4 linked regions of the Macaca mulatta genome follow. The protein of the gene in region 2 interacts with the protein of the main gene of each other region in a biochemical or structural test. Links are inferred from orthologs where the notes say so. Each region holds a gene or a part of one and is shown on either strand. Other genes may lie near its edges. The genes, in order: SNCA, SIAH2, DLST and EGLN3.

The links.
Region 1: of the proteins of SIAH2 (region 2) and SNCA, one has a biochemical effect on the other in vitro, tested with the Homo sapiens proteins (4 studies listed by BioGRID). The link is inferred for Macaca mulatta from reciprocal best matches to the Homo sapiens genes SIAH2 and SNCA.
Region 3: the proteins of SIAH2 (region 2) and DLST form a complex in vitro, tested with the Homo sapiens proteins (2 studies listed by BioGRID, with this or other methods). The link is inferred for Macaca mulatta from reciprocal best matches to the Homo sapiens genes SIAH2 and DLST.
Region 4: the proteins of SIAH2 (region 2) and EGLN3 form a complex in vitro, tested with the Homo sapiens proteins (2 studies listed by BioGRID). The link is inferred for Macaca mulatta from reciprocal best matches to the Homo sapiens genes SIAH2 and EGLN3.

The regions. Positions count from the first base shown.
Region 1 is NC_133410.1:99,138,504-99,145,823, reverse strand, and holds part of SNCA (alpha-synuclein), read left to right. Parts: intron 1-4,089; coding exon 4,090-4,232; intron 4,233-7,320. UniProt on the Homo sapiens protein: Neuronal protein that plays several roles in synaptic activity such as regulation of synaptic vesicle trafficking and subsequent neurotransmitter release.
Region 2 is NC_133407.1:53,797,137-53,804,961, reverse strand, and holds the start of SIAH2 (E3 ubiquitin-protein ligase SIAH2), read left to right. Parts: upstream 1-3,550; 5' UTR 3,551-4,178; coding exon 4,179-4,595; intron 4,596-7,825. UniProt on the Homo sapiens protein: E3 ubiquitin-protein ligase that mediates ubiquitination and subsequent proteasomal degradation of target proteins.
Region 3 is NC_133412.1:148,086,712-148,094,031, forward strand, and holds part of DLST (dihydrolipoyllysine-residue succinyltransferase component of 2-oxoglutarate dehydrogenase complex, mitochondrial), read left to right. Parts: intron 1-326; coding exon 327-382; intron 383-1,795; coding exon 1,796-1,907; intron 1,908-3,709; coding exon 3,710-3,862; intron 3,863-4,222; coding exon 4,223-4,299; intron 4,300-5,188; coding exon 5,189-5,286; intron 5,287-7,320. UniProt on the Homo sapiens protein: Dihydrolipoamide succinyltransferase (E2) component of the 2-oxoglutarate dehydrogenase complex. The 2-oxoglutarate dehydrogenase complex catalyzes the overall conversion of 2-oxoglutarate to succinyl-CoA and CO(2).
Region 4 is NC_133412.1:107,058,883-107,066,908, forward strand, and holds the start of EGLN3 (prolyl hydroxylase EGLN3), read right to left. Parts: upstream 4,865-8,026; 5' UTR 4,534-4,864; coding exon 4,177-4,533; intron 1-4,176. UniProt on the Homo sapiens protein: Prolyl hydroxylase that mediates hydroxylation of proline residues in target proteins, such as PKM, TELO2, ATF4 and HIF1A. Target proteins are preferentially recognized via a LXXLAP motif.

The sequences.
Region 1 (7,320 bases), on a different chromosome or scaffold from region 2:
GACTATGTTGCCTTCTAGGGACCTCCTATAAATATGATATTGTGAAGCATTATTATAATAATAACTAGATAGCAGACAGGTGGAGACTCTACTATCTGAAGAGGGTCAGTCTAGATGAATGGTGTTCCATTTAGTAGTTGAGGAAGAACCCATGAGGTTTAGAAAGCAGAAGGCCATGTACCAAGTTTTGGAGTCAGTGGTAAAAATTTTAAAAACCCAACTACTACTGTCACCTAATGATCTAATGGAGACTGGAGATGGACTGCATTTTTTCAGTCTTCTCCAGAATGCCAAAATGTAAACACATCTCTCTCTCTCTCTCTCTCTCTCTCTCTCTGTGTGTGTGTATGAGAGAGAGAGAGAGACTGAAGTTTGTACAATTAAACAACATTTTATAAAATGTTTTCTAAAGGACAGTGGCCCACAATCCTAAGTTTCCAACATTGTACAATGTTGGGAGATTCTGCATATTTTATTTTCTCTTTGGTATATTAAGGAATCTGAGATGTCCTACAGTAAAGAAATTTGCATTACATAGTTAAAATCAAGGTTATTCAAACTTTTTGATTATTGAAACCTTTCTCCATTAGTTATTAGGGTTGAATGAAACTAGTGTTCTACAGAAAACTATGGGAAATGTTGCTAAGCAGTAACGACATGGTGATTTCAGCATGGGCAATATTTACAACCATTACACCCATGAACCACCCTGGCAGTAGTGAAGTACCAAAAATGCTGTCATAACTAGTATGGCTATGAGAAACACATTGGGATAAATCAGCTGCTATCATAATCATTCCTCTCCCACATCAGATAAATGAATTAATTTTTTGAATAGGGTTATTTAATATAAAGTTCTTAAGTCTAATTATGAGAAGAAATAAGACAATTACTTCAGTGGTTAAAGAGAGAATAATTTGCATATTTTACCTGATGTAAAATGTTTGCTATGGGTACATATTAAGTGCTAACTAATTGTTAATTGTTCTTGTTACAAGTCTTAATGCAGGGAAACAAGAAACTATTACATAGTACCTAATATTAACTTCTAATATTAAATAAACAATTTCCCCCAAATTCATCCCATTAGATTTCTTTTCAAGGGGGCGGGGGAGAAATATAGACTTCAGTAAACTTGGGCTGGGAGCTTTCTACCTACAAAGTTCAAGGAAAACAAATTATCCTAGTTAGATAATATCAATGAAAAATCCACCAACTTAAATCCTAGCTCTTTGATCTCGGGAAATTATTTCAGTTATCAACTTAATGCATCATATATGAAAATGTATTTAATTAAACTTACTGAATGATATGTTTTTAAGGTACTTTAAAAATAAACTATGATATAAAGTTACTTATTTTTCATGCAAGTGTAGTATAAAGAAATTTCTGACACTGGAGATTTTCTGAAGGTTTTGATTCTTGTAAATTTATTACATCATAATGAACAAAACTAATTTTCAACATGTTATGATCTAAATTTCCTTAGTAAATTGTTTTAAATTTATTTTCTTTAAATCTATCATTTGTATAACAATTCAAAACTAGATATTCTTAATTTTATAATTTTGTTTAATGTCAAAGATTAGATTTTGCTATATCTATTCTAAAAGTTCGTATCACATTTCCTTTTTGGATTTTTATTTTTAACTTAGTTAAAGTCAAATATAAACCTATTACTTATATTAATGCAGATATTAGAGAGAGATACTAAATTCATTTTAGTATATTCTAAATTATTTATCTACTATAAAATAATATAAAGAAAAATAAAGTAGAATCCCTGATTTCAAAAAACTCAGTTGCTGAAAAACAGATACCATTTGCTAGACTCAAAATGTACTAATATGAGTATGTCTCTTTTCCTTTTGTTTTGTCACCGTTCGTTTGGAATGTCAGTGAGTAGAGAAATAGTGTGGAAGGCCCTCGGGGGAAAAATAGAGGTTCAAGGTCAGCAGAGACCCTACTAGAGAAACCAGTTCTACAGAAATGTTTTTAAATGTGTCGATGATTGCTACCTGTATACTCTGTTATTTTGTCATGTAACCATTTTATTTATTATTATAATAATAAAAGAGTGAAATTATAATAATGTGCAGAGTACATTTTACTGTGCAGTGTATTGCATTAAAACTAGATTAAAATTTATACATCTATAAAAGGTTATCTAGATATTATAAAATTTATGGCTGGATCTGTAAAAAATTCAAAACCTATTTTTAATCTTGCTTCAAGATTTTATAACAAGAAAATGTTCATTTGAAGCAAAATTTTCAATTCTCGTCCTTGAAAACGAAAAAAATGACAACTTGAAACACATAATTGACTATTTTTAAAGGATCAACATTTCAGAAATGTTTTAAAACATAAAATTTTCAATACAGCTTTTCACTGGCATTTAAATCGAACTTTGAATTGTAAATAGCTCTTACTCTTAAGGAGACATCAGCCATATCCTTAGAAATGGCACAGAGTTGGTAGGTAGTTGTACAAAATTCTAGCCTAAAAGACAAGTAGGGAGCAACAATACTGTGGACCCTTTCTGGTCTTGGGCTGTGTGGCTATGTCAGGCTTCCCCACATTGCCTGAACTAAGGAGAAAGCCTCTTGTCCTTACAGGCCCCTTAGCTTCTGTGACTTACATAGTCTATTTGAAAATGAATTGCTTTGTCCACACCATTTAACTATTGGCTTCTTCAACTGGTGAGATGAAACCTATACAATAATCATGTGACTAGCACGAAAGAGCTGACAGGGTGTAACTCCTCTCAGACTGAGGCTTATCTGGGGAGTATAAATCATATCAAGAAAATGTGCCTTCATTTCCTTAGATGAGTGTCCCCATCCTCCACTCTCCTCCACTGTTCTCCTCTCTGCTTCTATGATACCAACTTTTTTTTTTTCTTTAGATTCCACATGAGTGAGATTATGTTGTGTTTGCCTTTCTGTTTCTGGCTTATTTCACTGAACAAGAAAATTTTTGACATGAAATTAAATTTCTGCCTATAAACTCAATTCAAACTATTTACACTGTCTTCTCAAAAATGTTAACTTATTGTAATAAACCTACTGAATGACCGTATCACATTTTGTTTTGTGAAAACGAATTTTAAGGGTGCTCAATAGCCTCTTCATTTTCATACTGTCCAGCTCCTTTGCTCCTATTAAAATTACTGCAAGTTAGCTTTTAAGAACCCTATGTTTCACTACCTGAAGTTCTATAAAAAGTTCCAAGTTCCTTCAAAACCATTTCTTATGCTGTCATTCATACATATGTGATAATACCGTGTCTGAACACACAGATAAGAAGTATGGGCTGGGTGCGGTGGGTCATGCCTGTAGTCCCAGCACTTTGGGAGGCCGAGGCAGGTGAACCACCTGAGGTTAGGAGTTCGAGACCAGCCTGGCCAACATGGTGAAACCCTGTTTCTACTAAAAATACAAAAAAAATTAGCCAGGCATGGTTATGGGCACCTGTAATCCCAGCTACTCAGGAGACTGCGGCAGGAGAATAGCTTGAACTCAGGAGGTGGGGATTGCAGTGAGCTGAGATTGTGCCATTGCACTCCAGCCTGGGCAACAAGAGTGAAACTCTATCTCAAATGAATGAATGAATGAATGAATGAATGAATGAATGAATAAATAAATAAATAAATACAAGTATGTATTGTGTTGTTTAGAATGTGTGGTGGAAATGAACTTGCTGAGTGAGCTCAAAGGATTGGCACTGAATTGAAATAAAGAAATACTCATGTTGAGTCTGGTTCAACTATAACTGCACCTGTAAGAATTGCTTTCCTTAGTATAAAATAAATCCAAATCACTCATGGCTTTACATTCTGGATCATTAAACTTGAAGCACTTTTTAATACTGCATGACTTTAACAAAAATATCTTAGCCGAGATTCAATGTTTGGTTGAGCCACACTCACTTGGACACCTTGGTTGCTTGTTTCTTCTGACCCCTCAGTTGTCTATGGCATGTGTAGATACAGGTGTATGGAAGTCGATGGCTAGTGGAAGTGGAATGATTTTAAGTCACTGTTATTCCACCACCCTTTAATCTGTTGTTGCTCTTGATTTGTACCAGTGGCTGAGAAGACCAAAGAGCAAGTGACAAATGTTGGAGGAGCGGTGGTGACGGGTGTGACAGCAGTAGCCCAGAAGACAGTGGAGGGAGCAGGGAGCATTGCAGCAGCCACTGGCTTCATCAAAAAGGACCAGTTGGGCAAGGTACGGTGTGTACACTTTGTGCTACATTTATAAGCTGGTGAGATTATGGTTCATTTTCATGTGAGGCCTGGAGGCAGGAGCAGGACACTTACTGTGAGGAACAGCTACCTGACCCTCCCCTTGTGAAAATGTGCTACCTTTATATTGGTCTTGCTTGTTTCAGGCATTAACCCAGATAAATGCCATGCAAATTTTATAATTATCATGATTGTTTCAATTTCTAGAAGAAAGTTAATGAAATAAAAAATGTAGTAAAATGTCAAAGGAACAGTGACATTTCAAAAAGAATGAAGACTTTCATGTTAACTATAAGTCTTGGAATTTCTCTTCCTTGGAATAACAAATCTCTTTGTGCCTAATTTCTTAATTTCCAAAATAAAATTCTTTTACTTGATTTCTTTATAGTGACATCATCTCTTATTAAATGGCATATTTGCATATTACATAACAGTTCATTGCCAAATACATGTTTGTGGGAACTAAGAGGTTTAAAATATATACCAACCAGAGATCATAGTTTTGAGGTAGATTTTAAAATTCTGAGAAGAATTTTGACTGAATTTTTTTGACAAACATGGGGCACAAATAAGATTATACCAAAGATACTATAACTTTCATTTTAAATATGAAACTAATACGGTATGAGGTGTCAACAATGATGAAATTTTACAAATGTCACCACTACAACAGCAAAATGATTTTTGCTTTTTCCCTGTCTCCTTGCTATTTCTTGAATAAATCAAGCATACCCTTGCCCTGACACATTACTGGGGAGGCCTGCCTTAATCTATATAAAATTGGAGCCATTCTTCTCACCTCTGGTATTCTCAGTCTCCCTACTCTTTCTTTCTCCTTCCTTCCTACCTTCCTTCCTTCCTTCCTTCTTCCTTCCTTTTTCTTTCTTTCTTTTTTCCTTCCTTCCTTCCTTCCTCTCTCTTTTCCTTCCTTCCTTTCTTTCTCTTTCTTTCTTCCTTTCTTTCTTTCTTTCTTTCTTTCTTTCTTTCTTTCTTTCTTTCTTCCTTCCTTCCTTCCTTCCTTCCTCTTTCTCTTTCCCTTCCTTCCTTCTTTCCTTCCTTCCTTCCTTCCTTCCTTCCTTCCTTCCTTCCTTCCTTCCTTTGTTTTTCTTTCTTTCTTTGCCAAAGTGTTCTTCACCTTTAAATATAATAAATAATTTGCTTACTTTAATGTATTTTTTAAATTTTATTTCTCCCTTCTATTATGTAGGCACCATGAGAGTGAAATATATTTATTTTGTTCACTGATATTTCACAAGTGTCTGGGAGAGTTTCCAACTTAGAGTAGACAATTAGCATATGTTTATTAAGAAGGGAAGAAAGGAAGGAAATAAGTGAGTAAGCAGAACAACTTTTATTTATGGGTCTTTTATAATCATATCCTTAGTATAAGAACAGTGCTATTCAGCTATCCAAAAGTTAAAATCAAAATGATTTTGGATGAATCTCTCCAAAATTGTGAGAAAGAAGTTTTATTTGCTGGCAAACTATTCTGGGTTGTTTCCACTTCATGTAATCCTAAGTAGCAGCCTTACCTTGATAGCCCATTAAAACACTGATAATAAAAAGGCAGAACAAAAATATCTGTGATATATTTAGATTTACTACATGAAGTTACATGTCTAGTGTCTGGTGCAATGGATGTAATTATGGCAAATCCTGACTGGGCTTCTAGTGAAGTTCTTCAGCTAATGCTTGAATGCATGGTTGGTCATGGTGATACCCCTTTGTACAAAATATGCTTTTCAAATAATCTTATTAGGGATAATAATTATATTAATTCCTGGTTTCCACCTAAAATTATAATTCTATTTATAGCTTTGTAAGATTTCATAAGTTAAGAGGGACCTCAGATTAAAATAGTACACAGGCAATTAACCAGTTTTGTGTCTCAGACCCTTTTCACAATCTAATAGAAGCTATGGACCCTCTTAGCTTCAGAAAAATGTGTCCTCACATACACACATCAAAGGGCTTAATGGGAAGTCCACTGACAGACCCTCTGTTCAGATCAATCTTCTGATTGTACAGATGAGGAAACTGAAATCAACAGAGGATGTGGGTAGTCCAAGATTGTACAGTCATTTGGAATAGACTGGACACCAATAGTACTTTTCCAGCCACTATATCACTTCCCCAAGCATTTCCTCAAAACTTACCTTCCTTTGGGTCTTTATACATTCAGTTATGGACAACTAGATTTAACTAGAGAATTTTATTGCTTCAGAATATTAAGCAACAGGGAAACATGTACCATCCTTTCTTTATTCACCTGCATTTAACGCATACAATATAAATTGCAAATGAAGCATGAAAGTGCTTAATCTTTTACAAAACTGGGTTTGCTTTCCACCCATCTAAAAATACTGCTATTTATTTTAATATTTAAAGCAGAAATCTAAATGATGTGACAAAATTAATCATTTGGAGATATTTCCCTTATAGGTACTAGAGTATCTTATTGATTTCTAATATGAAAATGAAGTCATAAAACCTAGAAATTGCAGCATAGTTGTGGAAATAAACATTGGACTGAGAGTGAAAATGGCTAGTCTTCATCTCTGCTCGTACACCACCTGACTGGATAACCTTTTGCAGATCTCCTAAAAGTCTTTCTCATATAATGAGGAAGCTCTACTAGAAAATTGTTGAAGTCTAATTTAGCAATAAAGTTCTGAGTTTCTAAAATAATTCAGAGAGTACTCTAATAAACGTCTGCAATTGTGGCCACATCTATGGGATGCTAAAAAATCTGGATAGTTTCAATGAAAGTATTTAATTTGTTCATTATGATATTTGAAATAATTTATTTCATTTTTTAAACTCTGATCAAAATGACCCTGGCAACTAGAAATAAGCAAAATCTTTTTGCTTGAAATGCTTATTAATGACCACATTGAGACACTCATTCATCATTCAAGAAAGAATGTTTACTCACACTGTGCCAGAAACTTGGAGGAAGAGGGATGTGACAATTAGGGATACCAGATGTCTAGCTTGTAGAAGTGGATTAATGGCCGTACTTTAAGATCAGGAACACTGAAAGGGAGTAATGGCACCGGTTTTAACCTTTC
Region 2 (7,825 bases):
GGCAACATAGCGAGACCCCTTCTCTACAAAAATTAAAAAACTAGCAGGGCATGATGGCACGTGCCTGTTGTCCCAGCTACTCAGGAGGATCCCTTGAGCCTGGGAGGTCGAGGCTGCAGTCAGCCATGATCCAGCCACTGCATTAAGCCTAGACGACAGAGTGAGACTCTGTCTCAAAAAAAAAAAAAAAAAAAAAAGACTTGAATTAAGAGATCTACAATTATTCAAAAGAAGTTTGAGTATTTGGCAATTACCCCAGAAACAGATGAAGTTGAAAGTTCCTACTTTAATTACCCGGGGGCCTTACATCACCTACAGATTCCCCATAAGCCTCCCCTGATGAGGAATTTCCATGCAGCAGGCTCCAATGCATACCTGAGTCATCTCCAAAAAGCCAACCACAATTTGCTCTGTAAATGCACACCATTTGCCTGATGGCAGAAGTTGCCTGATTTGCAAAACCACACAATTTGTAAGTTACAGAAAAAAGGGCAAGAGCTTGTCTGCCTAGCTGGAGCACTTCTCATTGAGCTCAGCAGTTTAGTGAGATTAGGAACTCACCTGTGAGGTGTTTTTTTTTAAGACTCACCCTGCTATTTTAAGGAAAGAAAAGGCTACTCAGTACACCCCCGGTCTTTCAAGCTTAGCACAGAGCAGATGGGTTAAGGAGAGGTGTCCTGCTTGACATATGCAATCTGGGACTCAGTAGGTGGGCGAATGAGGCCAACCTCTCATACAGCAGATGTGGTAAATGAGTCATTAATCAGGAGATAACAAAAGGCTGGACCCTGCTCCCCCAGACCACAAAGTCACTCACTAAACAGGCCCAGAAGCAGCAGCGACGCTCCCAAGGGTAAATAAACCTCGCAACAACTCAATTCAGCATACATTTTGAGTACACGCTAAACGCGACCTCTGAGCTCACTGCCCTCTGGAAGAGGAGGCTCTAGCTCACAGTGCCTGCTGTGCAAAGGTCACCTTTCTTTGTTTCAAAAGTCGCCAAGAAAGGAGGAAGAAGAAAGGCGACTGGGAAGACCAGCCTGGTCACTTATGTGGCTCACATAGCAGACCTATCCACTCTCCCCCTGCCTACCTTCAGCAACTGCCCAGAGTTTTTGGTTTCAGTTTTGTTTTTTAATTACCCTGGTTGACTTAATCAGGTGTGCAATGATGTGAAGAAGGAAGAAAAGAAGAAATTTCTCTATACTAGGGGAGGCATCTGCCAGGGTAAGAGTGGATAGGTTCGTTGTATTTTTAGAAAAATAAACCAAATTCTCTCTGCAGAGAATTGCTTTTCCTGTTCTTTGTTTCAACACCTCCCAAACCAAATTGCTTTCTGAATGACCAGGTCCTATCTAGCTGGAATACTTAAAGCTCATGTCAACCGGGCAAGCGTGAGGACTCCAGTCTCCTAATGAGAGCTAGTAAGAAGCCATGGGAATGGGGATCATCACACCAAGAGGCTGGAAGTGGAAGGAAAGAAAATGCATTCCAGTAATAAATTCCAAATGCTTTGATTTTAAACTAAGAATGAAAAATATTACATTTTCTCCAATAACAGTAAAACTGTAGGTGATTTTTGTGTCATCACTTATGTTTTGTGTCATAAAAAGGTGAAAATGAAATAAATAGAATATGATTTAATTTTTCTCTCTAGACCAGCTAAGGAAAGAGTTTATGTAAAGTTTGCCCACAAAATTCAGTGCTTTATTATAGGCTGAACAACTGTCTTCTGACTCTGTTGAGTGTGCTAATCTTAACTCTTTAACCAGACTATAAGTAGGAGTCAGGCATAATTTAGAGGCATACAGACTAGTAGTTAAGAAGAAGGGCTCCGAGCATGTTCCCACATTCTCAGCTATGTGATCTTGAGCAAAGTAACCTATGTCTCGGTTTCTTCAACTGTAAAATGGAGATAAAAGTAGTATTCATCATATAGAGTTATGATAAATACTTAAAACTGTTCATGCCCAACATACGGTGGGCACTCAATAAACATTAATTATATTATGCTCCCCACCTATCCAAAAACTCAGGTTCAGCCATGTTACTAAAGAGCTTTCAAAAACCTACAAAAGCTAGTGTTGTTACTTGTGTGTTCTTAAAAAACCAAACAAAACCCTACAGTGGTTTACCCCATCATTGAGGTAAATGTCTTATTAAGCCAGTTGAGGCTCTGCTTGTGCTAACCCCACACCCCTACGCTCCCGTTATATCCCCTCCAAGTCCCAATGCAATCCCAGAATTCATTCCTTCACTCTGTGCTTTTTAGCTCCTGCTATAATGCCTTCCCACCCCTGTGGTATCTGAAATCCTTCCCCTCCCATGAGTGTTTGATTATTGGGCCTTGCTCTCTTACTAGAATGTAAACTGTATGAGAACCATTCTCAGAGCTCCAATAGTAGCTGATACGTGATAAATGCTCAGGAAACATTTACCGAACGATTGAATATCTACAACTATTACGTTTTTTCAAGATTTATACCAAATTCCATCAATTCCATGCATGCAGTCATTCTATAGAAGCCCTTTGTAAGATTAAACTTTATTTCTTCTGGGCTCTAACGCCGTATTTCTTGGACAAATTGTATTCATTCATATTAAACATCCACTAATATTTTAAAAAGATAACAGCTAATGTTTAAATAGTGCTTATGATGAGCGAGGTTGTTTCAAAAGTTTGAAACATATTAAACTCATTTACTCCTCACTGCCCCACCTATAAGATAGGTATTGTTTTTATTCCACTTTTACAGTTGGAGGGAACCATTTTTCACTCAGTCTTAATAGTTGGTCCTTACCTCTGTGGCTCCTACAAATACCGATTTCCACCTAGGGTAACCCTTTCCCCAATTCTGGAATCGTTGGCTTAAGCAAAGTTTGCAGAAAAACAATTTAACTCGGAGCACACAGTTACATTTGGACATGCGGTTCACTCCGGGCTACGGTGCCCTCTCTAGCGCTTCTGCTGGGCGCGCAGGGTGGCCTACAGCTCGCAACAAAGACTCGGACTTCGGCCGGCTCTTTACCAAGCGGACTCAGCGCCCTACACTGGAGGCTCACCTACTGTCTTCAGAGACCTCACGACCCAACCCACGTTTCTGGCATTCCTAGATGATCTCGAACTCTTAGCCAACGCTGTCCATGAGCTCCCTCCTCGGCTATACAAGCCAGGGGCGCTTAATTCAACGAAGCTTCCTCCTGGTCCGCTGGGAAAGGAATAAAGGGGGCTTACCTCCTCCCCACCGCCCCCCTTCTTTACTCAACCCCACCGTTAACTGTACAAAACTAGGTCCTGTGCCCCCTGCAGACCCAACTCGGCCCCTCGCCCTGCTCCCACCCAATGCTTCCCGTCCTGACTCGGAACACAGAACTCGGTTGGCCGCGTCGCCCTCCTCGCCTGCACGCTGGTGACTCAACCCTGAGAAGACAAACCTCTCGGTTTTTTCCGACCAGTGCAGGGGCGCCGGCGCCCCGCCCCTGCCCGCCAGCGTACTGTCCCACCCACCGTCCACGCCCCCGCCCAGCCTGAAGTTGCCCTTCTCGTTTGAGCTGAGGGACGCGTCGGCCAGGCACCCCGGGGTGTGGCCAGAGGACTTCGGCGACGCCTTCCCCGAGAGTGGCCTCCCTCGCCAACCCGGAAAAGACAACCCCGCGGGGCTGCGGCGAGCCAGGCATGCTCACTGGCGCAGGCCCGGCCCGCAGCCCGAGCAGGAAGCGCCGGCGCTAGGCGGCCCCCTGCGCTGCCAGCTGGAGCCGGGCGGAGCCAGCGCCCCGGCGCAGGGTGGCTCTGCCAGTCCCCGCGCGCCTGGGCGGCCGCACACGTGTCCAGGCGTCACGTCCGCGCGCGCCCCCGGGGCTTGCGTCAGCGGCCGCTCCAGAAGCGGGTGGGCCGGGGCTCCTTGCGCACCGCTGGGTTCGGGGCCCGGACGCCGCTGGGAGGAGGGCATCGCGCGGGGTCCGACGCGGAGGCGTGCTCGGAACGCCGGGGGCTGGGGAGTGCATCAGCGCGGTCCAGCCCTCCGCCTGCCGGAGGCCGAGAGTCTCTGCCGCCCAGACCTGGGCTGGGCGCCGTGGCGTTGCCTCGGAGCTCGCTGCCCGCGGGGCGCGCACCGCCTTGACCCGGGCGGCCCCGCGGCAGGCAGGCGCCCGCAGTTCCATGGTTGGTTCGGAGCGCGATGAGCCGCCCGTCCTCCACCGGCCCCAGCGCTAATAAACCCTGCAGCAAGCAGCCGCCGCCGCAGCCCCAGCACACTCCGTCCCCGGCTGCGCCCCCGGCCGCCGCCACCATCTCGGCTGCGGGCCCCGGCTCGTCCGCGGTGCCCGCCGCGGCGGCGGTGATCTCGGGCCCCGGCGGCGGCGGCGGGGCCGGCCCGGTGTCCCCGCAGCACCACGAGCTGACCTCGCTCTTCGAGTGTCCGGTCTGCTTTGACTATGTCCTGCCTCCTATCCTGCAGTGCCAGGCCGGGCACCTGGTGTGTAACCAATGCCGCCAGAAGTTGAGCTGCTGCCCGACGTGCAGGGGCGCCCTGACGCCCAGCATCAGGAACCTGGCTATGGAGAAGGTGGCCTCGGCAGTCCTGTTTCCCTGTAAGGTAAGGTCAGGGACAGCCCGCGTATCTCCGCCGGTGACCTCAGGGACTCCGGTATCCTCCAGCCCACTGGCAGGCCCGGAAAGGCGGGCGGCATCTCTCATTTAAAAAAAAAAAAAAAAGAAAAAATGTTTACATTTCGTCTACCCTCCCTCAAACCCACTTTGGGAGTAGTTCTGGGTTGACATTTACCGAGTTAATTGACAGTTAATTGACAGTTAACAGATTAATTGGCATTCGCTGGTCGTCAGAACATCGTAGCTCACCCGGCCCAATGCCCGCGTCCTCTGCAGACATGTATTCGGGTACGCTCGATAGGGCTGGGCCGCACCAGTAAAACTTGGACCGAGAAACTGACTATGTGGGGACTGAGGAGGGAAGAAACGGGCGAGCTAAACGCACCCTTGTCCAGCGCTCGGCTTGGCTGAATTGATACTGGAGTCCTGCACCCCGCGCCTACAGTCTGCGCACCCCTGACACGTGGGAGCTCTCGGGAGTGTAGCTAAAAAAAGGGCGCCTACAGCCTGTTTTCTTCTAGCTAGAAGAAAACCCTGCAAGCCACGCCTTTTTCTCTCCTAGCCTTCCAAGGACTGGGAAGGACTGAGGAGTTGTGGCTGCGTTTTTGTACTATGTGGGGTGAAAACAGTCAATCAAGAAATTAACAAGGGCACTCAAGAGCTGTTGTTACAGTTGTTTAAAGCTCATCAGTTCATTTTTTATTTAATGTAAAAAGTTTTCAATGCCCTTGCGAAAAATGCAAGCCAAGACAATAAGTAAAATGAAAGACCAAGACCTCTCCCCTCCTTTCCCACCATTGTTAGGTTTAGTGTGTATCTTTTTAAACTATATATACATACACCCTCGCAGCTAAATATAGAATCATAGATGTCAGTGTATGTCAGGGAGGTTTTTTAATACCCACACATAGATGTAAGTTTTTCTCCAAAAATGGCATCTGCAGCTTGCTGTTTTTAAATTCATATTATCATACATATTTCTCTATGCCTGAAACCTAGTCGACTTCACTGTATTTTAAATGACTGTATAGTATTGCATTGTGTGGTCATATTGTAACATTTGTTTACCTTCAGGAGCAGTTTCACAGACATACTTGTCTACATTACTTCATTATGACCTAGAACTATACTGTAAAGTTCATTTTCTGAAATTAGAAGTAGAAATATTGTCATTAATACTTTCCAGTTTTTTTGTAAAAGTAACTTGCTCTGCCTCTTGGGCCCTTTAGGCTTTCTTGTATTTCTCCTTGGTGCTGCTTATTTTATAGGACAAGAGCTCATTTTTAAATTAAAAATAATCCACCAGAGAATTCAGGCGTGGGACTCAGGTCAGTAAAATGAGTGCTTTAATTTGGTCTGCTGCCCTGCTGCAAATGAGGTTTAAAATAGCATATTTAAATAAGAGTTTGAATCAGTGTTTGGACTAGGGTGTTTCAGGCAACCTTAATAAATTGCTTTTAACCCCTCCTCATATAATGCTTACTAATTCACTCAGCCCAGTTTCTCAAAATTTAGATGAAGTATTTGCATAGTTGTCTTAGGGTTGTGAAAAAGGAGACAAAGGTTTGGTGGTAGTTAACATAGAGTGGCTATTTGATGTTTGAGATATATTGCAGGGGTGGGGGATGCCCCACAGGATTTCTGGGGAGCCATTTTCTCACCCCTTTACTTTCCCTTAAACCCGCAGTGGCTAACAAAAGAAATGGCTTTTAGGTGAGTTTTAGTTCACAAATGAGCATTTGATATTAGTCAGTAATCCATAATTTGTTTTTAAAATGTAACCTTAGAATTGTGTTGTTCCCAAGAGAAAGGGAAGGAAACAGTTATGCTATATGGAGCATGAAGTTTCACTTTCAGGATCTAGAACTCTGGTTCCTATGAAAGCATATGTTCTTTCCTAACGTGAAACAGGCTAGTGAAATCAACCTTGAAGAGTAGTTCTGGGAATCGGGGGTTCTCAGCCTTTCTGTACATGTCAGTGATTTTCTGAGTCTCTATTCCATAAGAATGCAGTTGGGCAAAGCCATTACTTTGCAAGCTGAAATTTAAAAGGGCCAACTATTCCCCTAAAGACCAGGAACCAAGCTTAGAATGTGATCTTGGGGATGCTTTTGTGTGTGCATGTGTGTGAGTTACATAAAGCCGGAGTGTGCATGCCTCACCTTTGGTTGATCAATAATCCAAACTTTTGGCAGGGCAGCTCAGCCAGTTAGTCTGGACGAACCAAACTTGAATGTATACATAGGCCCAGCGACCAACCAAGATGTGCTGTAGAGGATGAGAAACAACAGGGAGTAGTCGTAAGGCCTGTATCAAACTTAAAACAAGGTAGGTCTGTTTACCTAGCCCTTCGGCCTACAGTTGGAGGCTCCTAGAAATTATGGCACTGCCTTTTCACTGTGCCCACCTGCTCTCAGAATCTCTCATGGGCTGGCTCATGTGAAAAAAACCAACATTGAATAAAGTAACAGAGTCCACATCTCAAGAGGTGCCTGGCATTGTCATTGTTTGCCTGAAAGACCACCTCCCAGGGCCTTGATTTCCTCATCTATATATATGAGAGATGAGTCCGCTGGACTTCTGAGGACCTGTAGCTTCTAGCATTCCATGAAAAGAAGGGAAGCTATCTGGAATGTTATTGGATGCTCTCTATCTGCCAGCTACTTCACAGGGGTCAGCTTTTACTAGTTTGCCTTTTTTTTTTTTCCAGATGAGGAAACTCATGCCTACAGAGTGGTTAAATGTGAAGTGACTTGTCAAATCACACAGCTAGTAAGAGGACCAGTCCAAGCACCTGCATCTCAAAGGCACAGATGTTTTGTCCTACACCTTACTGCTTAGGGATTTCGAATCTGAGTATATACTCAAGATTCTGAATCATAACTCAAGGTTGACACCAGTAACAAAACCATCTGGTTGGATGAGTTCACCAGATGGGCCTCTTATGGGACCATCCCAAAATGACAACATACATACTCACTATGAAATTCATTGGCAGGAATTTTGTAGGCCATGTAGGGTAGGAAGATGGGGGGTAGGGGAAACCTACAAACCTAGTATTTTGTGGGATATCATCACAGCTCTGGACTGCTTCAGTTGGCCAAAAAATGGATGTATTGCCAAATAACTATCCTACTTAGGTGTAGGGTAATTAATTAAAGGCTAGAGTGTTGCCAGCACCTTTGATATGGGGAGCCAGGTGCATTATTAGCTCAG
Region 3 (7,320 bases), on a different chromosome or scaffold from region 2:
CACCACCACGCATGGCCAAGTTTTTTGTATTTTTAGTAGAGATGGGGTTTCACCATGTTGGTCAGGCTGGTCTCAAACTCCTGACCTCAGGTGATCTGCCCGCCTTGGCCTGCCACAAAGTGTTGGCGTGAGCCACTGTGCCTGGCTCCTCTCACTTCTTAAGTTTAAGTGCTTTCTAAAATTCTCCCCTCCGCCAAGGATAGTTGTAGAATTTATAGCTCTGCCCTTTTCTTTACATATGTACTTTCCGCTGGCCCTGTAGGAAACGGTTCTTGTAACATACTGGAGGCTCCCCGCTAACAGGTAGCCTTTGATTGTCTTTTCAGCTGTTGGAGACACCGTTGCAGAAGATGAAGTGGTTTGTGAGATTGAAACTGACAAGGTAGGCTTATCTTATATTACCAGTTTTTCATGGGCTTCCCTTAGTTAACCTAATGAAACAGGGACTTAACCGTTGTTTAGAGATAATTTTTAACTAGCTCTAACCTCAGTTGTAAAATTATTGGATTTGTTCAATTTAAAAAAAAACTTTTTACATTTAACTTCCTTTTTTTTTTTTTTTTTTTTTTGAGACGGAGTCGTGCTCTGTCGCCCAGGCTGGAGTGCAGTGGCCGGATCTCAGCTCACTGCAAGCTCTGCCTCCCGAGTCTATGCCATTCTCCTGCCTCAGCCTCCTGAGTAGCTGGGACTACAGGCGCCCGCCACCTTGCCCGGCTAGTTTTTTTTTGTATTTTTTTGGTAGAGACGGGGTTTCACCGTGTTAGCCAGGCTGGTCTCGATCTCCTGACCTCGTGATCCGCCCGTCTCGGCCTCCCAAAGTGCTGGGATTACAGGCTTGAGCCACCGCGCCCGGCCAACTTCCTTTTTTTTTTTTTTTTCTGAGACGGAGTCTTGCTCTGTTGCCCAGACTGGAGTGCAGTGGCCTGATTTCAGCTCACTGCAACCTCCACCTCCCGGGTTCAAGCGATTCTCCTGCCTCAGCCTCCCTAGTAGCTGGGATTATAGGCGCATGCCACCACACCTGGCTAATTTTTGTACTTCTTATAGAGACAGGGTTTCGCCAGGCTGGTCTCAAACTCCTGACCTCAGGTGATCTGCCTGCCTCTGCCTCCCAAAGTGTTGGGATTACAGGCGTGAGCCACCGCACCTGACCTGCATTTAACTTTAAATTGTTTGCTGTGTGTGTACTATGTACTTCATTTAGTAGCTTTAGTCTTGTAGTGTGTGGTGATGGGGTGAGGAGGGTAAGTAAGCTGTTTCCAGTTTTTCCTGTATCACTTGGAAACCTATTAACTGAATATTGCCTGAATGTTTCTGAGAAAGGACAGAAAGGGTGAATCTTCACAATAGCGTTGACTTGTCATCACCTTTGCTCTGAAATTGTGGCCTTAGGTGTTTGTGTGCAGGGCCTTATATATTGTGTTACCACTCTTGTGACTCATTGGAGGTTTTTGTTGTTGTTGTTGTTTTGAGACGGCGTTTCGCTCTGTCACCCAGGCTGGAGTATAATGGTGCGATACTGGCTTCACCTGCCAGGTTCAAACGATTTTCCTGCCTCAGCCTCCCAAGTAGCTGGGATTACATTTTTGTAGTTTTTAGTAGAGATAGGGTTTCACCATGTTGGCCAGGCTGGTCTTGAACTCCTGACCTCAAGTGATCCACCTGCCTTGGCCTCCCAGTGTACTGGGACTACAGGCATGAACCACCGTGCCCGGCTTCGTTGGATATTCTATACAGCTAATTTTCTAATGCTGGATAAACATTTGGACTTCCTCCATCTGTCTTCCTCTTCCAGACATCTGTGCAGGTTCCATCACCAGCAAATGGCGTGATTGAAGCTCTTTTGGTACCTGATGGGGGAAAAGTCGAAGGAGGCACTCCGCTTTTCACACTCAGGAAAACTGGTGGTAAAGAAGTTCTCCTGGTGCTCAAGGTCTCCAGTGTTCCCTCTTGGGATTGGGACTGAGCATAATGTGCTAATTCCCTGATATGTCAAAGACTCTGTCATTCCAGCTGCCCTTAGTTGAGGGAATAAGGGGTAAATTTATATATAGTGTGAACTTTAAATGTCAAATTCTAGAAGAAAAGTTTATTTTTAAAAAAATAAACCTCATACTCTGTTCTTTCCATGGGTGTTTCTTAGCAGGAGCTGAGAAACTGAACCTTTTCTTATAGATACACAGATTGAGCATACCTAATCTGAAAACTCAAAATCTGAAATGCTCCAAAACTGAAAATCCAAAATCTGAAATGCTCCAAAACTGAAAATCCAAAATCTGAAATGCTCCACAACTGAAAATCCAAAATCTAAAATGCTCCACAACTGAAAATCCAAAATCTAAAATGCTCCACAACTGAAAATCCAAAATCTGAAATGCTTCAGAACTTTCTGAGCACTGACGTAATGCTCAAAGGAAATGCTCGTTGTCTATTATGGGGAATTCAGTGTTGTTTCTTATCACATCTATTCTCTCATATCTCTAGGAAGGGTTGGTATTTCTTTTGGGAAGAAATGAGAAACAATTTGTACTAGACCTGATAGGATTAGAGATTAATAACTGTTTATCTGACTCTTAGTGAAATTTTATAACCACTAAAATGTCTATTTCTTTTTCCTAAGCGAGAATCATACTCGTAGACCAACGAGTCACAAATGTCTATTTCTTTTTCATTGTTACACTAATAATGCAGATCGACCACATGATTGAGGTTAATCAGGCAAGACCAGAAGCTCAGAGTAGAAAACATGTATGGTAGAAGGCTAGGAAATAAGGGTAGTCCTCCTGTTGCAGAAGTTTGTCTTAGCACTAACCCTGGATGTAATATCCAGATGGGTGAAAAATAGAAACAAACATTTCATTTAAAGTTGTGAGATTATTACTTGGCCACCTCAGTGATTTATGAGTCATCCTGGATGAAGCGCTTTTTTAAGCCTAAGTCAGCCCTCGATGAATTTTTTTTTTTTAATTTTTTTTTTTTTTTTTTTTTGAGATGGAGTCTTGCTCTGTTGCCCAGGCAGGAGTGCAGTGGCCTGATCTTGACTCACTGCAACATCTGCCTCCAGAGTTCAAGTGATCCTCTTGCCTCAGCCTGTTGAGTAGCTGGGACTACAGGTGCGTGCCACCATGCACAGCTAATTTTTGTATTAGTAGGGACGGGGTTTCACCATGTTGGCCAGGATGGTTTTGATCTGTTGACCTCGTGATCCGCCTGCCTTGGCCTCCCAAAGTGCTGGGATTACAGACGTGAGCAACTGCACCCAGCCTATTTTTTAGTAGTATTCTTGCATATATAATGTTAGAATAGAGGATGGAGAGTATCAGTAATTAGAAATACGTTTATGTATGCATTTCAATATTTTAAATTGCCTAGACTTTTTTTTTTCTCTTGGAAGTTTACATTTTCTTGGGCTTGGTAGGTGCTTTGAAAGTACTTGCTGAATTTATTCAGTAGAAACCTGTGAAATCGAGGAGGGAGCTAAATTGAGCCAGTTATCTGATGGACATTCAGGGACCCTGAGGAATAGAGAATAGTGCCTTATGTCATTGTGTGTGTGTCTCATAGTGCCTTGCATATTGCCAATACCCAGTAGACATTTGTTACTTGATTGGAGCTAGAGTTTTTGCCACTAAATTTGGCTTAGTAGCTGTGATTTGGTTGCTTTCCATTTCAGATAGTGCCAGTGGCATCTACTTTTCTTGTTTTTCAGCTGCTCCTGCTAAGGCCAAACCGGCCGAAGCTCCTGCTGCTGCAGCCCCAAAGGCAGAACCTACAGCAGTGCCAGTTCCTCCCCCTGCAGCACCCATACCCACTCAGATGCCACCAGTGCCCTCACCCTCACAACCTTCTTCTAGCAAACCTGGTAGGCTTCCAACTCCCACGTGTCATGTGGGGGAACATCTCGTCTAATATGTTGCCTCAGGGTAAACTCTAAGACTAATCATGGTTCTGAACAGGCCAGGTTGACTGCCTTGTAGAAAGAATTCTCGACTTTGTATCTGAAGTTCTGTTTTGCATCTCAGCTTTCTGTTACTAGCTGTGTGTCTTTAGGCTAGTCACTTAATTTATCTGAACGGATTATTCATCTGTGAAGTTGGAGTGATACTAATACACCTCAGAATATCTTGAAGGTTAAGTAACAGGACATATGAAAGCACTGGCACAAACTCAGTAGATGTTTCTTTCTTTGTCTGATGCCACTTTATCCTCTCTTCATTTTCAGTGTCTGCAGTGAAACCCACTGCTGCCCCACCACTAGCTGAGCCAGGAGCTGGCAAAGGTCTGCGTTCAGAACATCGGGTAAGCCTCTGCGGACCACTTCCAGGAAAGAGGCAGGGGGCAGTGTTGAGATTAGTGGAGTATGGGTGTGGTGGTGCCTACCTTTGAATGGCTGGCAGCTCATTCCCTCAACCTTGACAAAGGGAGTTTAGAATATAACTTCTTCATAGTCACATCACCATCAAATGATAGAACTAGAACCCGAGGTCTTCTGAACACTTGTTCAGTGGCTTTCCTGCTATATTATGCTCAGTGAAAGCCTTGGGTAAGTTAAATATTTGTAGGGGATGGTAGCTTAGTAACTCACCCCCTTCCTCCCACGATGTCACACACTTCAGAGAGGTGGTTTAGTGAGCTCTATTCCTATACTTCCGGGATACTTAGCTGTAGCTAAGGGATAATACTCAGTAGCAATAGCTGTCAGGTGCAGACATAAAACCTCAAGGAAGTATGGTCAAGAGTGTGGTTCTTCTGCCTGAGAATACTTCCTAAAAATATGATAGCCTCAAAAGTTTGTTGCTTATGAGGTTCCGTTCCACAAATAGCTATTGTCATGCAAGTCTTTAGCAATAGAAAGTGCCCTTTTTCTTATGATTCTTATGTTGGCTAGACTACACTACACTACATTCTTTCATAAATTGGTTTTGGTTTTTAAATCACCGTTTCTGAGCCTTCATTCTTGGTCAAGCTTCAGGCACATCTGAGTGAGTAGTTTTGGCCTGTGTTTGCATGTTTTTGCTTGGAGGAGAAAGGGCCACTACAGGAAAGGGAAGCCTGGAGCTCTTGTTTTACTTAGGTACTATAGCCCTTGGCCATCCACTCGTGGCAGGCCATGTTCTTTCTGACTACACGGGGAATGCTTGACCCAGAGAGATCAGATTATCAATGCTTGTTCCACTCTCGCTTTCAGGAGAAAATGAACAGGATGCGGCAGCGCATTGCTCAGCGTCTGAAGGAGGCCCAGAATACATGTGCAATGCTGACAACTTTTAATGAGATTGACATGAGGTAGTGTTTCTAGCCCCTGTTATCCCCTAGGCCCTTTTTTCTTAGAGAACACTCGAACTTGCCCCTGTCCTTATCTCCTTATCTAGTGCTGATTCTAAAACTTAACTTGTCAGGGAAGAGGTATTTCTTTGCTTTGTTTATTGTTTTTTTTGTTGTTGTTTTGTTTTTTGAGACGGAGTCTCACTGTCTCCCAGGCTAGAGTGCAGTGGGGCGATCTCGTCTCACTGCAAGCTCCACCTCCCAGGTTCACGCCATTGTCTGGGTTCACGCCATTGTCCTGCCTCAGCCTCCTGAGTAGCTGGGACTACAGGCGCCTGCCACCACGCTCGGCTAATTTTTTGTATTTTTTTAGTAGAGATGGGGTTTCACCATGTTAGCCAGGATGGTCTCGATCTCCTAACCTCGTGATCCATCCGCCTCAGCCTCCCAAAGTGCTGGGATTACTGTCGTGAGCCACTGCGCCCGGCCTGTTTATTGTTAACTTTCACAGAGCGACCCACTGGCTTCTTCTCTAATTGGCTTTCCTGATACTATGCCTGCCTTCTCCATGACCTTAACCTTAGCCTTGGCTAGGTGTAGTGGTTCACACCTATAATCCTGGCACTTTGGGAGGCCGAGGCAGGCAGATTGCTTGAGTCCAGGAGTTCAAGACCAGCTGGGTAACAAGGTGAAACCCCACCTCGACAAAAAATACAAAAATTAGCCAAGTGTGGTGGTGCACACCTGTAGCCCCAGCTACTTGGGGGGCTGAGATGGGAGGATCGTTTGAGCCCAGGAGGTTGAGGGTACAGTGAGCTGAGATCATGTCACTGCACCCCAGCCTGGGTGACAGACTGAGACACCCTGTCTCAAGAAAAACCCAACAACTTAGCATTTTAGACTTTTAAACCTGAATCTTGCGATTTCTGATAAATGAGAGTAGTCATAGTTGTACACTCTGACTAGTGTCAGGTTGCCAAACAGAGATGGGACAACCAGGCCAACGTGGTTTATGCAAAGGTCTCCCACTCGGGATGGAGAAGCCGTGACAGCATGCCGAGAGCCTGGGCACCACATCCTACTTCTTTTACACAGGGGTTGCTCCTTACATGTTTTCCTAAGTGATTCAGAATCGGGTAGATGAAAAGGCAAAGATAGGCTAGGCTTGTCTTTCATTTTACCCAGCTTTGATAGTAAAATGGAAAACAAGTTGTGTTTTTAACTAACCTTAGAATGTTAACCAAAGGTACTAATTCACTGGGTATGCCCATTTCTGTAGTGAGCTAATTGTTGACTCACCTGTTTTCTTCAAGATTTTGATGTGTTCAGGTATCAGCACTGTCAGGAAGAGAAATTTGACAAACATGTTTTGAGTGTGTACTGTGTACAGAGTACTGTACTGTGGAATTCAGTGGGGTTATAGACTGGGCGCCATGGCTCGTGCCTGTAATCCCAGAGCTTTGGGAGGACAAGGAAGGAGGATCGCTTGAGCTTAGGAGTTGGAAACCACCCTGGGCAACATAGCGAGACTGTCTCTACATAAAATTTAAAAATTAGCCAAGTGAGGGCTGGGTGCAGTGGCTCGCACTTGTAATCCCAACACTTTGGGAGGCTGAGGTGGTTGGATCACATGAGGCCAGGCCAGGAGTTCGAGACCAGCCTGGCCAACATGGTGAAACTCTGCCTCTAGTAAAAATACAGAAATTACCCAGGCATGGTGGCGCGTGCCTATAATCCCAGCTAATGGGAAGGCTGAGGCACGAGAATTGCTTGAACCCAGGAGGAGGTTGCAGTGGCAGAGATTGTGCCACTGCACTCCAGCCTGGGCAACAGAATGAGACTCTATCTCAAAAAAAATAAAATAAAATCAGGTACGGTGGTGTGGACCTATAGTCTCAGCTACTTGGGAGGCTCAAGTGATCCTCCTGCCTCAGCCTCCCAAATGACTGGGACCACTGGGAACACAGGCATGTGCCACCAGGCTTGGCCAATTTTTTTAGTTTTTGTAGAGACAAGGTCTTGCTGTGTTGCCCAGGCTGGTCTCCTGAACTTCTA
Region 4 (8,026 bases), on a different chromosome or scaffold from region 2:
ATTAGCCGGGCGTAGTGGTACACGCCTGTAATCCCAGCTACTCAGGAGGCTGAGGCAGGAGAATCACTTGAACCTGGGAGGCGGAGGTTACGGTGGGCCAAGATTGCACCATTGGACTCCAACATGTGCAACAGGAGCAAAACTCTGTCTCAAAAAATAAATAAAAATAACAGTAGGAAAACATCAGCACAGTACTCCATTTTCTCTTCAGATGTACTCAACTGACCCACTTCAATGTTTGAGGGTTTTCTTAAGCCTGAGAATTAGTCAAGTGTGAATGAGATGATCCTACAATTCGAAGTATACGGAAGTATAAATTCGTTCATCATTGCACCATCACCCTGCACAGTACCCCACACAGGGTGAACACTCCATAAACATTTGCTGAATAAATGAAAAGTCAGAAGTAGGAGAGAATAAAAGGAAAGAACACAGCCTCTGGATTTAGACAAATCTAGGTTAGGATCCCAAATTTCCCCTCTGGAGACTTAAAACACTGATGAAGGCTCAGAATGCTGCTAAAAATTTCATATACATCATCTTATTGAATGCTTCTTCCCCCAGCAGCTTTAAGGCATTATTTCCCCTCATTTTACACCTGGTGTAAACCAAGCAACTTGCCTAAAGCCACAAGGTTAGTAACACTGAGCCTAAGCTGGTAGCCCCCACTTAAACTGTTTCTTACCACTGACTTTGAAACTTTGGGCAACGTATTTAATCACTCAATGTGTTTAAGACTGTGTTTCTGAAGATTAAGCAAGATAGCATCTGTAAAGTGCTTAGCACAGTGCCAGACAATACAAACTGCTCAATAAAAGGTAGTTCTTATTATTAGTGTCACTAACTAGTGAGTCTACAGTGAACTGTTTGAAGCAGAAGGACTTTTGGTTCTAAAAATTATACATTCTCTGGAAAACAGCCATTTTTCAAGATCTAGGCAGCCAAAGAAAAAGGAGCAAAATATGACCAATATTTATCTTGGATATGGTCTAAAATCTCCAAAAGGGAGTAGCAGATAAATCCATTGCTAGCCTGAAAGCAATGATCATGCGTGAAGTTAGGGGGCGCCATACTGCTGTACATTACAGCAACCACTTCCCAAGGGGTCTTCAACACCCTTGGAATTTTCTCCAGCAAAGACGAGGTACATAAATTCTGACCATTAACCACTTTCTTGGCAGGAAGCGGAACCATCTAATATTTCTTTCTATATTCTTCCACAATTTCAATTTTAGGTCCAGTGCGTCTTTCTGTTTTACTCCCAATGCCTTTGCTATTGCTTCATTGAGATAAAGGACAATATTATATTATCCAATGACCTTTCAAAGTCCAGCAAAGAACCAAAAAAAAAAAAAAACCCAAATTTAGGTAAGTGTATGAATAAGCAAAACCTCAAGAAATTTTAAGTAGCTAAAAAACAATTGTTCTAAAATAAATGTACATATTGGCAATTGTTGAAATTGGGTGATGGGGGCTTATTAGCCTCTTATATTTATGTGTGTTTGAAAATAACCTTAATTAAAAGTTAAAAATAAAGTTAAGGACCAAGCACAGTGCCTCACACCTGTAATCCCAGAACTTTGGGAGGCTGAGGCGGGCAGATCATGAGGTCAAGAGATCGAGACCAGCCTGACCAACATGGTGAAACCCCATCTCTACTAAAAATACAAAAACTAGCTGGGTGTGGTGGCCTTCCTGTAGTCGCAGCTATGCGGGAGGCTGAGGCAGGAGAATCGCTTGAACCCAGGAGGCGGAGGTTGCGGTGAGCCGAGATCACACCACTGCACAACATCCTTGGGACAGAGCAAGACTCTGTCTCAAAAAATAATAATAATAAATAAATTTAAAACTTTAGTTTTTCTTGAAAACATGTGTGAAGGATGCACCAGTAAACTGGGTCTCTGTCACTGCTCTGGAAAGCAGCACAAAATAAGGAGCTCAGTTGAGGGATAAAAAGTGAGTGAAGAAAAAGAAGGAATAAATTAAGGTGAAACCAAAATAAATCATGTAGAAACGGAAAGTGTTTCTATGATGACTTTAATAATGAACTTCAAACAAGAAACCCAAGACCACAAGACATCACTAAGGAGACTTCTGTATACAAGCAAAGCACACTTAAAAAACATTTAGCTACACTAATTGTTTGCTCAAGCCTGGTTTGCATTTGGTTCTAAAGTGGCCAGGGAATATTCCAATCGAAAGGTGATTTATCTAAAGGGCAGGGAGTTTTGTGACAAACCAGCCAAAGTAAACCTAGAAATCTGGGGGTGGGACAGGATAAATTTTCTTTTCAACTCATGATCACCTTCTGACAGGGTCACCTGAAAAGTTTTTCATTCCACCCAAAAGATAACCTAAAATTGATGAATCATATCTACAAGATCTTTCCCTTACCCTTACACAGTGTTTTTCATTCCACTTGAGTTAAATTCTAGTCTGAACTCCTATCCCTATCCATTAAGTCAAAGCTAAATAAAAATATTTAACTTTCAATGTCAGTGGCCTCTTTCTATACCAATTAATTCTGACGTCCCTCAGAGCAAATTCAGCTCCTAGAATGGTGAAGAAAAATTCCTAACACCTGAGTTTACAAGAGACATTCAAAAACCCGATAAGAAGCCCTCTGCTCTTCAGGTAAAACTACCAGCACCTCAGCAACACTGAAGCTGACCCTTCCCCTCCCCCCCAACCCCCACCACAGAAGACAGCAAGGTCATTTAATGCAAAAACCAAACTAGTCAAAGACAAATGACTAGTCCACCACCAACACAATGGAAGAAGAGTGAAGAAACACTTTAACATCAATCTTCTACAGAGTTCCGCTAACATAATTTTTTTCCCCAAAGTAAAATTTAGAAAGCAGGATCTTCTAAGATTTACTTTACTTGGGTGCGCTAATAACGATGCTTTCAGATACTCTATTCATGGCCTCTTGGCTTGGAAGTTGTACAACAAACTATGACTCCCCACTGCACTCATCCATCTCCACCCCTTCACTCCCACACGTTTCCAATTCTCATCACTTAGCCTTTATTCAGAGTGTTCCTCTCCGTGTACTAGAGAAAGGAGAGAACAATGGTCTGTTTTGAGACAGGATCAGTCTTGAGACTGATTTGAGAAATACTTTATTTATTGTCAAAGAGTGGTACATAGGTGTCAGAGAGTGGTACCTCTCATGCCATGGTATACTCTGCTTCGCTGTTTCAGTAAAAGTTTTCCATAGTTCTGAATGTCCCTTGACCACACCGTAAGACAAGCGCAAGTCACTCAGAATTGCCACTGGAGAACTGGCTCAACTATCATTTGAGGAAAGACTGAGAAAGCCTATCCCAAAGTAATGTACATGCACCAACATCGCGGTACCTACATGTTCCTGTTTTCCTGCCAATCTACCTGTGTTTCCAAGATAAATTACCACCCAGGGAGTCACTTCCTGCTATGTGAACAAAAACACTGTTTCTTTCCGGAGGTGCTTGACTACTCTCTCGTGAGCACTTAACTGGTTGTTTTGAGTGGACTTTGTTGTCAATTGATAGTTAGGAAAAGGAAGGTGGTGGTGTAGGGCTAAGCACCAGGAGAGAATTTTCGGTCAAGAAGATGGTCTAACAATGTGCTGGGTCCCAGAGGGCAGAAGCAGCATTCTGGAGTAGAGTTTTACCCTTTCACACCTGCCCAACTCCACAAACCAACTGCCACATGGCAAAATCACAACTGCCTCCAGAATTCTGAGTGCTTTTGTAGAAATCTCTTCTGACCACAATGAAGGGCAGTATTAGGTGGCCTTAAAGTAGGTATTTAAGATTATAAGGACACGTGTGTCTCAGATGATACACAGTGTTTCTAATACCCTTTCCCTCCTTTGGATCTTTGAGAACCTCTTGTCTTAAAAGCGGACCAAAGCCACAGCTTGTCTGGCTTTTGTCACCCACAAGAGCCAATATTTCAAAGTCAACAGAAGGTCATCATCATGATTCACCTGAGCCCCTTAGCGTGGACTTTCGCTCAGAGGAGCTGGGGCGAGGGGTGGGGTGAAGCAGCAAGTAGAGACAAACCAGGCTGACTTCTTGGTTAAAAAACAAAGTTCGCTTGCAGCCCTGGGAAGGCGACAGACAACGGACTCCGAGTGCCTCCCGTCCCCGCGGGGGCAGCTGCGGCAGGGCGCCGAGCGCGTCCTACCTTAGACCTCTCCTTGACGTAGTAGTTGCCCAGCCGGCTCCCGCAGTAAAGGACCAGCCTGTCGATGAGGGACAAGAGGAAGCTGATGGCCTCGCAGCCCTCCTCGTTGCCCCCGATCCACGTGATCTGGTCTCCCCGCAGGTGTCGCTTGGAGACGCCGGCGCGCGGCCCCGCCAGCTGGCCGTCCCGCAGGGCCCCGGTGCAGTGCAGCTGCTTGACGCGCTCCAGGACGCAGTCGCCCACCACCTCGCCCAGGAAGTTGTCCAGGTAGCAGAAGCCCACCTCGTGCAGACAGGGCACGATGTACTCCAGGGCAATTTTCTCCAGGTCCAGCCTCATGATGTGTCCCAGGGGCATCTCGCCCGCAGAATCGAGGTCCGGGATCCCCAGCGTGCAACCAGACAGGGAACGATCTACACGAGCGCGAAGCCGAGGCACGGGGAGAGTGGCCCAGGGTTCAGAAACCTGCGGCTGCCACGGTCCCCGAGCCGCTGCAGCCCCGGGGACAAGGGAAAGTTGCTCGCAACTCTCAGAAGAAGGGATCCGCGTTCGGGAACCAGCGGGAGTGGTGCGGGGCTCCACGACCTGTTTCCGGACTGGCCCGGCGAGCAGCGCGGCGCCAGGAGTCGGAGGGCGCCTTTTGGAGATAGGAAGCCACCACTGCCGCGACTGCGGCCAGACGCCGGGAGACGCTGAGGTCCGGCCCTTAAGCCGGCCGAGTCCGCGCGTCACGGGCCCCGCCCCGGGACCGCCTCCCAGACCGCCCCTTCCCCCGCCCCTCGGCCCGTCACCCCCGCCTGCTCTGCCCCTCCACGAAGGATCCCAAAGAGACCGGCGCCAACCTTAGTTGTTTGTGACCAGGGGAGCGGCTGGAGAACAGACTGAATTTTTAGAATGCGCTGGATTTGCATATTGTTTTGCATAAAATCACATAATAAACTTGAAAACCTGGATCCCACACTGAAAATGTAAATGGAATTAACTGCCACATTCTGGGCTGGTCATCTCATAGACTTTTGAGCAAAATAATAACCCCAAAAACAAATATATTTATTAAGCAGTGGTCTTGTTCTACCTTTACCTGGTGTCTTTCCTTATTTACCCCATTCCTCTGCTGTTTGACCCAGTTCAAGCCACTGAGAGATTAGGAGGTATCTAGTTTTAACTACAATTAATGCACTAACAAATATTTCCCTCAGCCCCTACTGTGTGCAAGGCACTATGTGCTTGAGGAGCTGGGGATGAGCACAATGAAGAAATGCTGAGTCATATCTGATTGAACTCTGCAAATGGTGTATTTTGCTTTGCTTGATGTTTTCCTCTACTTATCTTTCAAGCTTCCTATTAAAATATGATGTTCCGAAATTCTACCTTCAAAATTAATCACATGCTTCTGTAACAGAAGTATGTCCCCCAAAAGGTACACTGTATTCTAGGTCTCTTACTTTTCCCACAAGCAGCTGTACTTTCACAAGAGGGACAGACACCACTGAAAAGACTTTGGTTATCTACAGATAAGTCAATTTGCTTTATGGAGTTTTGATTCCCTTTCCTACTGAACACCAGCGATCAGAATCAGGAAAAAAAAGAAAAGAAAAATTCATAAATTGCATGCAAAGCTATTTGCACCTTTAAAAAAAAAAAAAAAAGAAAAGAAAAAAAGAAAAAAAAAAGGACCTTTAATTAATTTATTTATTTATTCTGAGACAGAGTTTTGCTCTTGTTGCCCAGGCTGGAGTGCAGTGGTGTGATCTCTGCTCACCACAGCCTCTGCCTCCCAGGTTCAAGCGATTCTCCTGCCTCAGCCTCCCAAGTAGCTGGGATTACAGGCATGCACCACCAGGCCCGGCTAATTTTGTATTTTTAGTAGAGATGAGGTTTCTCCATATTGGTCAGGGTGGTCTGGAACTCCTGACTTCAGGTGATCCGCCCACTCGGCCTCCCAAAGTGCTGGGATTACAGGCGTGAGCCACTGTGCCCGGCCTATTTGCACCTTTTTTACTTCATATTAGTGTACACTCAGGTTCTTTATTTAAGTTGAAGAAAAGAATGTACAGGCTTTTCAGATATTGTTTATTGTGGAAACAAATTTCTACAGCTTTTTCACTTTTCTTCTTCCTCCAGCAGCCCTCTCCTCTCTGCCTCTGAGGGGAGAAAGGGAATGACATCCAGGACAAGAACAAAGAGTAGAAGAGGAAAGGTACTGCTACAAGTTGGAAAGAAGGAGACAGAGGCACGTGGTTGAGTAATAACCTGGGGGATGTTGAGGGGGAGCAGTCAATGGTGGAGTGCTTGAGAAACTTTGATGAAACGTCTAGTTATATTGAGAGAGGTTCTCTGCCAAGTCAGTGATTAGTTGGCACCTTTGGTATTACCTTTGAGCAGGAGGTACCCCTCCTTGGGGTAAAGGCTTGAATAGGCCATCACTGCTCAAAGAGCTCTTGTCTAAATTCCCAAGGCAGCTCCATGATGAGAGGAGACCATCATCCTTGGAACCCCAGTGTTTAGCACATAGTGGATGGCTAATAAATAGTTACTGGGAACTCAATGTCTAACCCTGAGCCATAGCAGCCTCCACTTGGGATTCAGTATGTCTGGGCTTATCTGGAAGGATCTATTTGCAAAAGGGGCTGGGAGCCTCCCCAAAGAGAAGTCACTGGAAAAGAGTCAGGCAAATTAGCCTGACCCAGCACAAAACAGAGGCCAGTGGAGGGAGCAGTTAGGAGTTCTACAGGGCATTTGTCTCTCGGCTTTGTCTGTCTGAGCAGTGGACATTTGAGTGGTGGGAGCCAGAGACGTCAAGTGAAAGCTGGAGGACTGTTAAATTGCAGCAAGAGGCCAGGCGCAGTGGCTCACGCCTGTAATCCCAGCACTTTGGGAGGCCAAGGCGGGCAGATCGCCTGAGGTCAGGAGTCTGAGACCAGCCTAGCCAACATGGTGAAACCCCGCCTCTACTAAAAATACAAAAATTAGCCACGAGTGGTGGTAGGCATCTGTACTCCCAGCTACTCAGGAGGCTGAGGCAGGAGAATCACTTGAACGCGGGAGGTGGAGCTTGCAGTGAGCTGAGATTATGGCACTGCACTCCAGCCTGGGCAACAAAAGTGAAATTGGCCTCAAAAAAAAAAAAAAATTGCAGCAAGGAGTGAAATGGAGTGCAGTACCAAAAAGGAGGCAAGCCCTCCTCTCCACTTCTGCTTGAACCCTGCACAGAAGGAACAGATTTGCCTCCTGCAGTGATCTCCTCCAGGGGCACTCTGGATAACAGGGTGACCAGGAGAAACCTGGTCTAAGGCAGCCTGAATGTAGACCCTGGTTGGCATTGGGTTGTGCGTTTTGCAGCTTTGGGGACTGTGTAAATCTCAGAAGTAGATATCCCTGAAGAGGGACAGAATCAAAAAGGGGGAAGGTGACAGATAATCCTTAGTAACTGGCTGAAATGTTTCTAGCTGAAGGTTTTTTGTAGATACACCTTATATTCCTAGGAATGAGAAGGAGGGAATTTACAAAGGAATGGAAGCCGACAATCACTGGTAGAGGGGTGGTGGTCAATAAAATACAGAAAATTATACACCCACCTTCCAGAATGAACATGTTGACCCAAGACTTCAAAGTAAAATTGTAACTAGTTATAACTAGAGCAATAGTCTAAGCGAGTTCTAGTGACAACCGTTCTAGATTACATTGGTTGTAAAGCATGGGCAGTTTAGAGAGGAATTCAGTCCCTTGGCACCATCCCTGCTTGGCAAGGGCACTCATTAATCAATCAAGGACCTCCCGATCAGCTCAGGGCTGCCAGCACTGCATTTGGCAGAGGAATCAGAGATACTGTGACTGGCAAAAATCATAG